2 linked regions of the Daphnia pulex genome follow. The protein of the gene in region 1 binds, or shares a complex with, the protein of each later gene. Links are inferred from orthologs where the notes say so. Each region holds a gene or a part of one and is shown on either strand. Other genes may lie near its edges. The genes, in order: cleavage and polyadenylation specificity factor 73-like and cleavage and polyadenylation specificity factor subunit 4-like.

Region 1 (4,247 bases):
TCCGGATGAGCGGATGATAGTGATCTCGTGTAGAAGGACAGGTGTGTTCACATCTATACGCCGCCATGACAACCGACTGACAGTCTTCTGGCACGAGGCATCTCCGGACGGACGGACGGCCGCGTTAAAGGCAGGTGAATTCGTAATAGTGGGAAACGGAACAGGTTCCTTCTTCTCCTTGTATATACGTCTATCCAATAGAGCAGCAAGTTTATTTATATACACGTTTATTCTGTCCGGAGGGATGTGCGCCAAGGTTCGATAAAGACGGCGATGACTCTCTCAAATCGGCCAGACAAATGTTATGCAATTAGAATCAGCCGAGAAATCCGCTCGCGGAGCCTGCGGTGCGATTGCTTGCTTGCACGCAACCGTGTGTCTGTGTGCAGGTGTGGGTGTGTGTGTGCGTTTGCACTAAGAAATTATGAAGACGCTTTGATATTTAATAGGAAAAAACTACCCACACTCGACACAGCTCCCACGTTCAATTGTTTTCCGTATCAGCGAATAATGTGCTGTCACGTAGGAAATGCGTTTCAATGTCTTGTTTTTTCGCTGGATATTTTTCGCCAAAATTTATTGTCAACTGCAGGGAGACAAACGTGAACTTTATAGCTTACACACACACATGTATATGTATACCTGGCCCACATATACCGTGCTCGATGCACTGGAGGTTCATAATCGTGATTCATGAAACAATCATGTTACATGCATCCTAGTAAAACTTCATGGAAACTCGGCCCAACCTATAGCTACACCGTGTGTGTGTACGAGCTTGACGAGTTACTGCAGAAAGACCAAATGGTGAAGTTGATATAATCAAAAGTTATAAAAGGAGAATCTTCTTGACATTTCACGAACGAACAGTTTGCCGGTCGCTTTTTGGGTCTACATTTTTACCTCATCTGGGATCGCTGCTTCTTTTAGACTCCGCCACTCTTGGCAGAGACTTGAAACCATCTCGTGTGTAGCTTTCGGTGCAGGTGCTTCATTCCCACGCATAATCATCGGTTATTTATGCCACCATTTCTCAAATCGAGTAGAGTTTCACGAATTTTAAAACCCGTGGACAAAAAAGTCGAGATTGAATAGTAAAAACGCCGTCAGTCCGTTAATATCTTAAATCATCGACCCCGAAAAAATATATCAAATTCTAAATGCCATAAAACTTCACGGCGTAGATTGCATAATTAATAAATGTATACTACGTAATATTTTTATGATTTTATCAAAGTAAAAAAGGCGAAAGCGGATGTGATGTGTCAACTCGCGGAGTGGACATAAAAGTTTACCTGGCAACAGCTTGTAGACCCAAGAAAAACAAAAGACAAAATGGCTAAACGTAAAAATGACGTACAGGTCCCGGCCGAAGAAAGTGATTTATTGGTTATTAGGCCATTGTAAATATAATGTCAATTGACTTTTAATTTGTATTTGGAAAATTCACGGGTGTTTTTTATTACATTACTTTTCAGGGGAGCCGGACAAGAAGTTGGTCGATCATGTATCATGCTCGAATTCAAGGGCAAGAAAATCATGGTAAACAAACGTGTTTTTGTTGTACAGAGTTGAATCGCCATTGAATGTGGGCATTTCATTGATTATGTTTTTCATTTTCTAGCTGGATTGTGGAATTCATCCAGGTTTATCGGGAATGGATGCACTGCCTTTCGTTGATTTGATTGAAGCAGATCAAATTGACTTGTTACTCATTTCACAGTGAGTTTTGGTTTTGTTTTCTTAAGTTTTATTGTCAATAGCTAATGTACAATTGTATTTTTCAATAGTTTCCATTTGGATCACTGTGGGGCACTTCCATGGTTTTTACAGAAAACAACATTCAAGGGACGGTGCTTCATGACACATGCCACAAAAGCAATTTACCGTTGGCTGCTCTCTGATTATATTAAAGTAAGAAAAAAAGGCATTTGAGTTTTAGTCGATGCAGTGCTCACAAGTAATATTTCCAACAGGTCAGCAACATTTCCACAGATCAAATGCTCTACACAGAGGCAGATCTGGAGGCATCCATGGAAAAGATTGAAGTTATCAACTTTCACGAAGAGAAGGATGTTGGTGGAGTTCGTTTCTGGGCTTACAACGCAGGCCATGTTCTGGGCGCCGCTATGTTCATGATTGAAATTGCCGGCGTGAAAGTGCTTTACACTGGGGACTTTTCCCGACAGGAAGACAGACATTTGATGGCCGCTGAGATTCCTACTGTTCGACCCGATATCCTAATCACCGTGAGTTAAGCTTGAAGTATTTCAAGGCGAAATATGTCCATGTGATAATCTGTTTTATTCTCGAAGGAATCCACTTACGGAACTCACATCCACGAGAAGCGCGAAGATCGAGAAAGCCGTTTCACAGGTCTGATCCACGAAATTGTCAATAGAGGTGGCAGATGTCTGATCCCGGTCTTTGCACTGGGTCGAGCACAAGAATTGCTTCTCATTCTAGGTATTAGGTATTAGAAGTAATTTTTTGCATAAGAAAACTTCCAATCAGTTTTAATTGGCTTTTAGATGAATATTGGAGCCTGCATCCCGAACTTCACGAGATTCCCATCTACTATGCCTCGTCGCTTGCACAAAAGTGTATGGCCGTGTACCAGGTACTAATCAAATTCAAAATCTCGCAGCGATCGCATCAAACTTTAATTGGTTCTCTATTCTTGCAGACTTATATCAATGCCATGAACGACAAAATTCGGCGGCAGATTGCCATCAATAATCCTTTCATCTTCAAGCACATCTCTAGTCTCAAGGTACAATAATATTTGAAATAACCTGTTATAAAATGGTCCTTTATTCAACGCAATGTATTGTCATTCCCCAGGGTATCGATCAGTTCGAAGACGTTGGCCCTTGTGTAATTATGGCCTCTCCCGGTATGATGCAGAGTGGTCTATCTCGCGAACTCTTCGAAGCTTGGTGCACAGATCCTAAAAACGGTTGCATCATCGCAGGTCAGTGGAAAGAAATGTTTTAATTTTTATATAATTAGTTGTTCACGTTTATTTTTGTTGTCGTAAAAGGGTACTGTGTTGAAGGAACATTGGCAAAACATGTTTTGTCAGAACCGGAAGATATTACCAGCATGGCTGGCCAGAAGCTACCAATGAAGCTTTCAGTTGACTACATTTCATTCTCCGCTCACACTGACTACCAACAGACCAGTGAATTTATTCGTTTGCTGAAGCCACCTCATGTCGTTTTGGTTCACGGCGAGGCCAACGAGATGAACCGACTCAAAGCGGCGCTCATCCGAGAGTATGAACATGATCCAGACACTCAAATCCGTATATACAATCCACGTAACACTGCGGCAGTAGAACTCCATTTCAAGGGCGAAAAAACGGCCAAAGTAATTTAAAAAATCGTAAAAGCGATTCACCCAATGAATTTTATTCTAACGCCTTGTTGTCTAGGTGATGGGATCTCTGGCGTTTGAAAAACCAGTCGAAGGCCAAATCATTTCTGGTGTCTTGGTCAAACGAAACTTCAAATACCAAATTGTGGCGCCGTCGGATATTTCGAGTACCAACAATTTTTATTCAAGTCTTAATTTCTATAACTTTAGTACCCAATTTTTTTGAATTGCAGAATACACAGACATGACTGTAAGCAGCGTAACTCAAAGGATGGGTATCCACTACAGCGGGAATCTGCAAACGTTACAAGCTGTCCTGTCTCACGTTTCGCCTGACGTCGAAGTTATCGAGAGCGACAAAGGACTAAAAACATTTCGCCTTTTCTCTGCCATTGATGTCATTGTTGATAAAACTCTGGTTACATTAGAAGTACGCATCTTAATGATTTGTGAAGACCACTTCTTTAATGTTTAATATTTGATTTGTTTAGTGGGCGGCTGATTCTGTGAACGACATGTTCGCTGACGCAGTGCTTTCAGCTATCTTAAAGTGCGAATCTCTTCAAGGTTCGAGGACGATTGTGCTACCCACGACTGTTGATCATGCCCGCTTCAAGGTACTAAATTTTATTTGTTTGAGAATAATATCGGTCTAAACGTGTGAATTTATATAGGAATGCTTGATAGAAATGCTTCAAGATATGTTTGGAGATGATGCGGTTCCAAAAATGTTCAAAGGAGATAAATTCATTGTTACCGTTGACGGAAAAAGAGCCAATATAGATCTCACAGCATTGGTAACGTCTAAAATTACCGTTTTCTTATAAAAATCTAAATTCTTTTTTATTAAAGGAGGTGGAATGTCCTGA
Region 2 (4,356 bases), on another chromosome or scaffold:
GTTCGTGAGATGAAGAGCATACCAAAGTTTGACAGTCTATTGGATATTGATCGCTTGGAGCAGCTTTGCTACGATGACGTAGATAACTGTCCGAGTAGCAGCACTACTGTCGAAAGATCGAAAGACAATCGAGTAAACAAGTTGAAAGAAGAGAGAAACGTTCCTACTTCTGTTAAAGAAATGTTTGGTGGAAACTATGATCGAATGCCGGAAAAGACTGCACCTTCAAAAATAACAAACAATCCTCAATATTTCACGTCTGGATCATCACCGGTTGGAGCTAGGCCAAAAGAGTCCGCAGCCGCCCAAGTTAATGGTAGAGCCGCTAGACAACATTTAAATTCTGCAAAGGTAGTCAATGGCATTTATACAATTTGGAAATCTAGTGGCGTGTGAGTAAAAGCCTTTTAACCTTGGTAATTTTCAGTTCAATGGATGGGAGTGCCTGTTTTGCACTTTTCTGAATCCCGACGATCGAGAAATTTGCGACATGTGTTCCAAGTCGAGACACAAGGGCCCTGAGAGCCAGCCTCTGTTCCGCGGAGGACGTGAATGCTCCAATTGCACTTTGGTGAACGCACCAGAAGCAGAGAAATGTGCTGCCTGCTCCACCTCACTCACAAATGCCCCTACCTACATCTAAAGATTCCTCACACAAAAACCGTTCTACTACTAAAAATAATTATATACTAGTGTTCTGACTCCTTTTTTTTTAGAGAGATTTCAAAATTGTATTTATTGAATGGACAGAGACAGTGTTGGAAATGAATGTAATTTTCGTTAACTTCTTTCTTCTGTTGGCTGGTTACTCAAGAAAGCCAGATGTCCTTTGTTACACCTGTTTGAAATAAAAATTACAGCATGAGTGATATTACATTGAAATGCCCCAAAACGACTAATTCATTAATATAAATTCATCTTACCGATTTGCATAGTGGCCGCGCAGTCCACACTATTAACAACAAAAAGATAAGTGAATAAGGGTAATTTCAAAAATCGCGAATGTGAACAAATAAATTCTTTTACTCTATAACAGGTGACTTCATCTAAAGGTCTCAAATTCGTTCGATCTCTCTGGGCTTGGGAAGCGTTATTTGCATGAGTAGAGGCATCGGCGGGCGTGCGGTAAATGTCCTTAGATTCTGATGGAATTTTCGGACATTGAGCTACGAAAAACAAAATGAAATCAATTTGGGACGAAAAACTTGTATTATGTAATTCAAGGTTAGGATTCTTACCAGCTTTATGTCCCACTTCTCCACAGAAATGGCAGACTAGAGGCATCTTTCTCTTGTCACCCTTGATATCATCTGGAAGTGGAGGTAATTCAAATCTCGGACTAAGAAAGAAATTCACAGTTATTTTCACCAACTGACAATAATATTACGAGTTATTTTGTTCTTACTGGACGAATTTGCATTCGGGGCCGTCGGGACAGAAGCCTGCTGTGTAGTTCATGCAGAGCACACCTGAAACATTAAAGCAATATTTAAAATGATTCTTTCACGAAACGATAAAAATGTTATTACGTCGAACATGACGGTGTCGGCAAGTCGGTCCGTGACGGCAGAAACCACGATCATACCAAGGGCAATCTTTGATCTTTGTTTCAGGGTCAATGTGTAAGAAAGGGCATTCTTTGTTGTGACAAGCACCTGGGAGAAAGAAAAAAACATTAAAACTGTTTTATCAAATCAACTCTAGATATGGAACTCACTGAATCTGGCGTAGAAATAACACTCTGGCATCTTAGCCATATCAAATTCATGGAGAAATTCACACTGATCTCCTTTCTTGCATAGTCCTCTGAGCCAATGTTTACATACAATTGTCCGGTCTGCTCTGAGGTGTCTGTATGGGCAAAAACTTGCTCTCTGGCATTGACCTTTAGTGAATAGAGTGCACACCATTGCCGTTGATTCTGAAGAATTAAAAGACCCAAACATTATTAGAAGTCGAAACCATGTGCACATGCATTTAATTCACTTACTGTCCATTCCGGGAAATGGGAGATTTTGGGCTCCCAGCTGTTGCTCTATAAATACAAATATTGGTTCATTAGTTTCATTCAAATTGAAATATGGTGATGATATCAGATCTTGATTCTCTCTTACCCAAGGCAACTTCAATATCAAATTTGATATTGGCAATAGGCGCCATTACGGTATCCATGGTGCCCATTTTTAATTTTAATAGTTATAGTAAAATTCCTGCTGAAAACGATTTAATTTACCCATGCACCAAGCAACATGTACACCAACTTTTGCTTATTTTGCTTTTGACACAAATTTAGAGGAAGGGTAGCCGGGCTACCGCAGGTGAGACTAAACGGCATCTTTAGTTATATTCTTTTACGCTTTTAGAACGTTTCATAACAAAACTAAATTTAGAAATTTTGTAGATCGGAATTCAGCTTTTTATGTAATGGGAATTTTTAGCTTTTAAAGTTTAGTAAACAGTACCGCAAAGAAATGAGGATGGCAATTGATTTTGTGTGCGGTCATCTAGGCCTACACATCATTGCACAGATTGCACTTATTCGGACTCGTGTCTTTGTGTAAAGGTTTACTATTCAAATGAATTGAAATATCAGCAATTGTCTTTTCAAAAATTATCTTAATAGAACAATACTGCTAGTGCTACAGAAAGAACGCCGAGCTCCGCTCACTAGACGAAAAAACCGCAAAGATAAGCTTATCTGTAATTCTTCTCATTTCTCAAGTAAATCGCTAGACTTGGAATTATTTCAGAGAATTCGAGGGTGAGGAAGGAATTTCGTTGTTTGGTCAAAACAAACAAACAAGGTCGAGAATCACGAGACAGAAGTTTGCTTGTTTTGATTTTATTGCGTTTCGCCTCTGCTTATTATTTACAGTAGCTGCCTGGTGGTTCCGCTAGAGGGCCAGTTTTCCATTGCTCGCTGACATGGCTGCCTAAAAAGTGTACCGAGTCCCGTTTTGGACTGCAAAACAAATTGATTTTGACAAAGGATTTCTGTTCTTGTTATATATTTAGACTTACTTAAATGCATGGTTTAAGCCGCACGTGACTTTTTATTATTCTCGATGTCTGAAGTGTAATCTCAGTTCTGTGTTACGATTGGGAGGAGAGTTTGCCTGTTCGCCAGCAATGTCCCACACAGGGATCAATAGGAGAAATGGGGCCATTAAGATTCGACTCACAAGTAAGTGTTTTTTATTTTCTCTTTTGTTTTGATGTTGGGCCAATTTTTCAATCGTGTGCCACAAACGGAATTTTCATTGATTCCTCCTCGGTGAAGCAACATTCCTGGGCTGGTTTTCTCTCATTCCAGGCTTTATTTTATCTGATACCCTGTTTCCTGTCTTTGTAGAAAGGGTAAACTTCCTCTTGCCCCCAGGGGTGGGTTGAGATGGAGGGGAGAGGATTAGTAATGAAATAACAAGTCTTGATGGTATGACCGTGTCTTATTGATGTTTATCTCTTTCTGTCTCTCTCAAACCACCAGTACTGTGCGCCAAGAATCTCGCAAAGAAGGATCTGTTCCGTTTGCCTGACCCATTTGCCAAAGTCAGTGTTGAGGGATCGGGCCAATGTCACAGCACAGACACCTGCAAGTCTTCGTTGGACCCAAAGTGGAACCAGCACTTTGACCTGTAAGTCATCATCACCACCAGACAATTCAACTCTTCAACGCCTGACTGTTTTTTCTCTCTTTTCCCACAGGTACATTGGCAAGTCAGATGCGATAACCATCAGTGTTTGGAACCACAAGAAGATTCACAAGAAGGAAGGTGGCGGATTCCTTGGTTGTGTTCGAATCATGTCCAATGCCATTCAACGCCTGAAAGACACAGGATGTAATGCCAAATAATTCTGTCTTGTGAATGTCCACCTCTAAATTCTTCGTCTCTTTGTTTGTTTGTTTTTCAGATCAACGTCTTGACTTGACGCGCGCGAACGCCAACGACACCGATCAAGTGAAGGGACAAATAGTTATTTCCTTGCTGTCTAGAGAACAGCACAATTCGTCAAGCTGTCACGAGAACAGTGCAACTCCCGTCGTCCAAACCGTTGTGGACGCTCTGGGAAATGTTGCCAGCCCTGCGTCACCTGCAGGCATTCAAGAAGCTGCCACGGCTTCAGTCACCTCTCCCCTTCCGCAGGGTAAATTAAACAACAACAACTTGATGACTTTGAAAATTTTATTGACAAATGTCTTCATAATGGGCAGGTTGGGAGGAAAGGAGGACATCCAGTGGCCGTAGGTATTACGTGAATCCGGAATCGAGAAGTAGTCAATGGACCAGGCCCATCGTGGAGAGTAGCAGCGGGGCTCAGGCCAGCAGCAGCGGCGGCAGCTCAGTTTCGGCCAGC

What was found.
Region 2: cleavage and polyadenylation specificity factor 73-like (region 1) and cleavage and polyadenylation specificity factor subunit 4-like share a complex: the UniProt entries of both Drosophila melanogaster proteins name them as parts of the cleavage and polyadenylation specificity factor (CPSF) complex. The link is inferred for Daphnia pulex from reciprocal best matches to the Drosophila melanogaster genes Cpsf73 and Clp.

What each region holds. Positions count from the first base shown.
Region 1 is NC_060024.1:9,772,723-9,776,969, forward strand, and holds the start of cleavage and polyadenylation specificity factor 73-like, read left to right. Parts: upstream 1-1,268; 5' UTR 1,269-1,335; coding exon 1,336-1,403; intron 1,404-1,478; coding exon 1,479-1,542; intron 1,543-1,624; coding exon 1,625-1,722; intron 1,723-1,790; coding exon 1,791-1,914; intron 1,915-1,976; coding exon 1,977-2,249; intron 2,250-2,315; coding exon 2,316-2,466; intron 2,467-2,531; coding exon 2,532-2,620; intron 2,621-2,686; coding exon 2,687-2,773; intron 2,774-2,844; coding exon 2,845-2,974; intron 2,975-3,043; coding exon 3,044-3,372; intron 3,373-3,436; coding exon 3,437-3,545; intron 3,546-3,611; coding exon 3,612-3,808; intron 3,809-3,869; coding exon 3,870-3,995; intron 3,996-4,052; coding exon 4,053-4,175; intron 4,176-4,230; coding exon 4,231-4,247. UniProt on the Drosophila melanogaster protein: Component of the cleavage and polyadenylation specificity factor (CPSF) complex that plays a key role in pre-mRNA 3'-end formation, recognizing the AAUAAA signal sequence and interacting with poly(A) polymerase and other factors to bring about cleavage and poly(A) addition.
Region 2 is NC_060027.1:2,524,838-2,529,193, reverse strand, and holds cleavage and polyadenylation specificity factor subunit 4-like, read right to left. Parts: upstream 2,833-4,356; 5' UTR 2,182-2,832; coding exon 2,115-2,181; intron 2,036-2,114; coding exon 1,991-2,035; intron 1,922-1,990; coding exon 1,718-1,921; intron 1,656-1,717; coding exon 1,530-1,655; intron 1,470-1,529; coding exon 1,406-1,469; intron 1,340-1,405; coding exon 1,239-1,339; intron 1,167-1,238; coding exon 1,027-1,166; intron 953-1,026; coding exon 924-952; intron 883-923; exon of another isoform or gene 839-882; coding exon 781-838; 3' UTR 706-780; downstream 1-705. Other genes in the region: uncharacterized protein LOC124207999, read left to right, coding at 1-351, 428-643; E3 ubiquitin-protein ligase SMURF1-like, read left to right, coding at 3,130-3,184, 3,488-3,635, 3,706-3,839, 3,913-4,146, 4,214-4,356. UniProt on the Drosophila melanogaster protein: Component of the cleavage and polyadenylation specificity factor (CPSF) complex that plays a key role in pre-mRNA 3'-end formation, recognizing the AAUAAA signal sequence and interacting with poly(A) polymerase and other factors to bring about cleavage and poly(A) addition.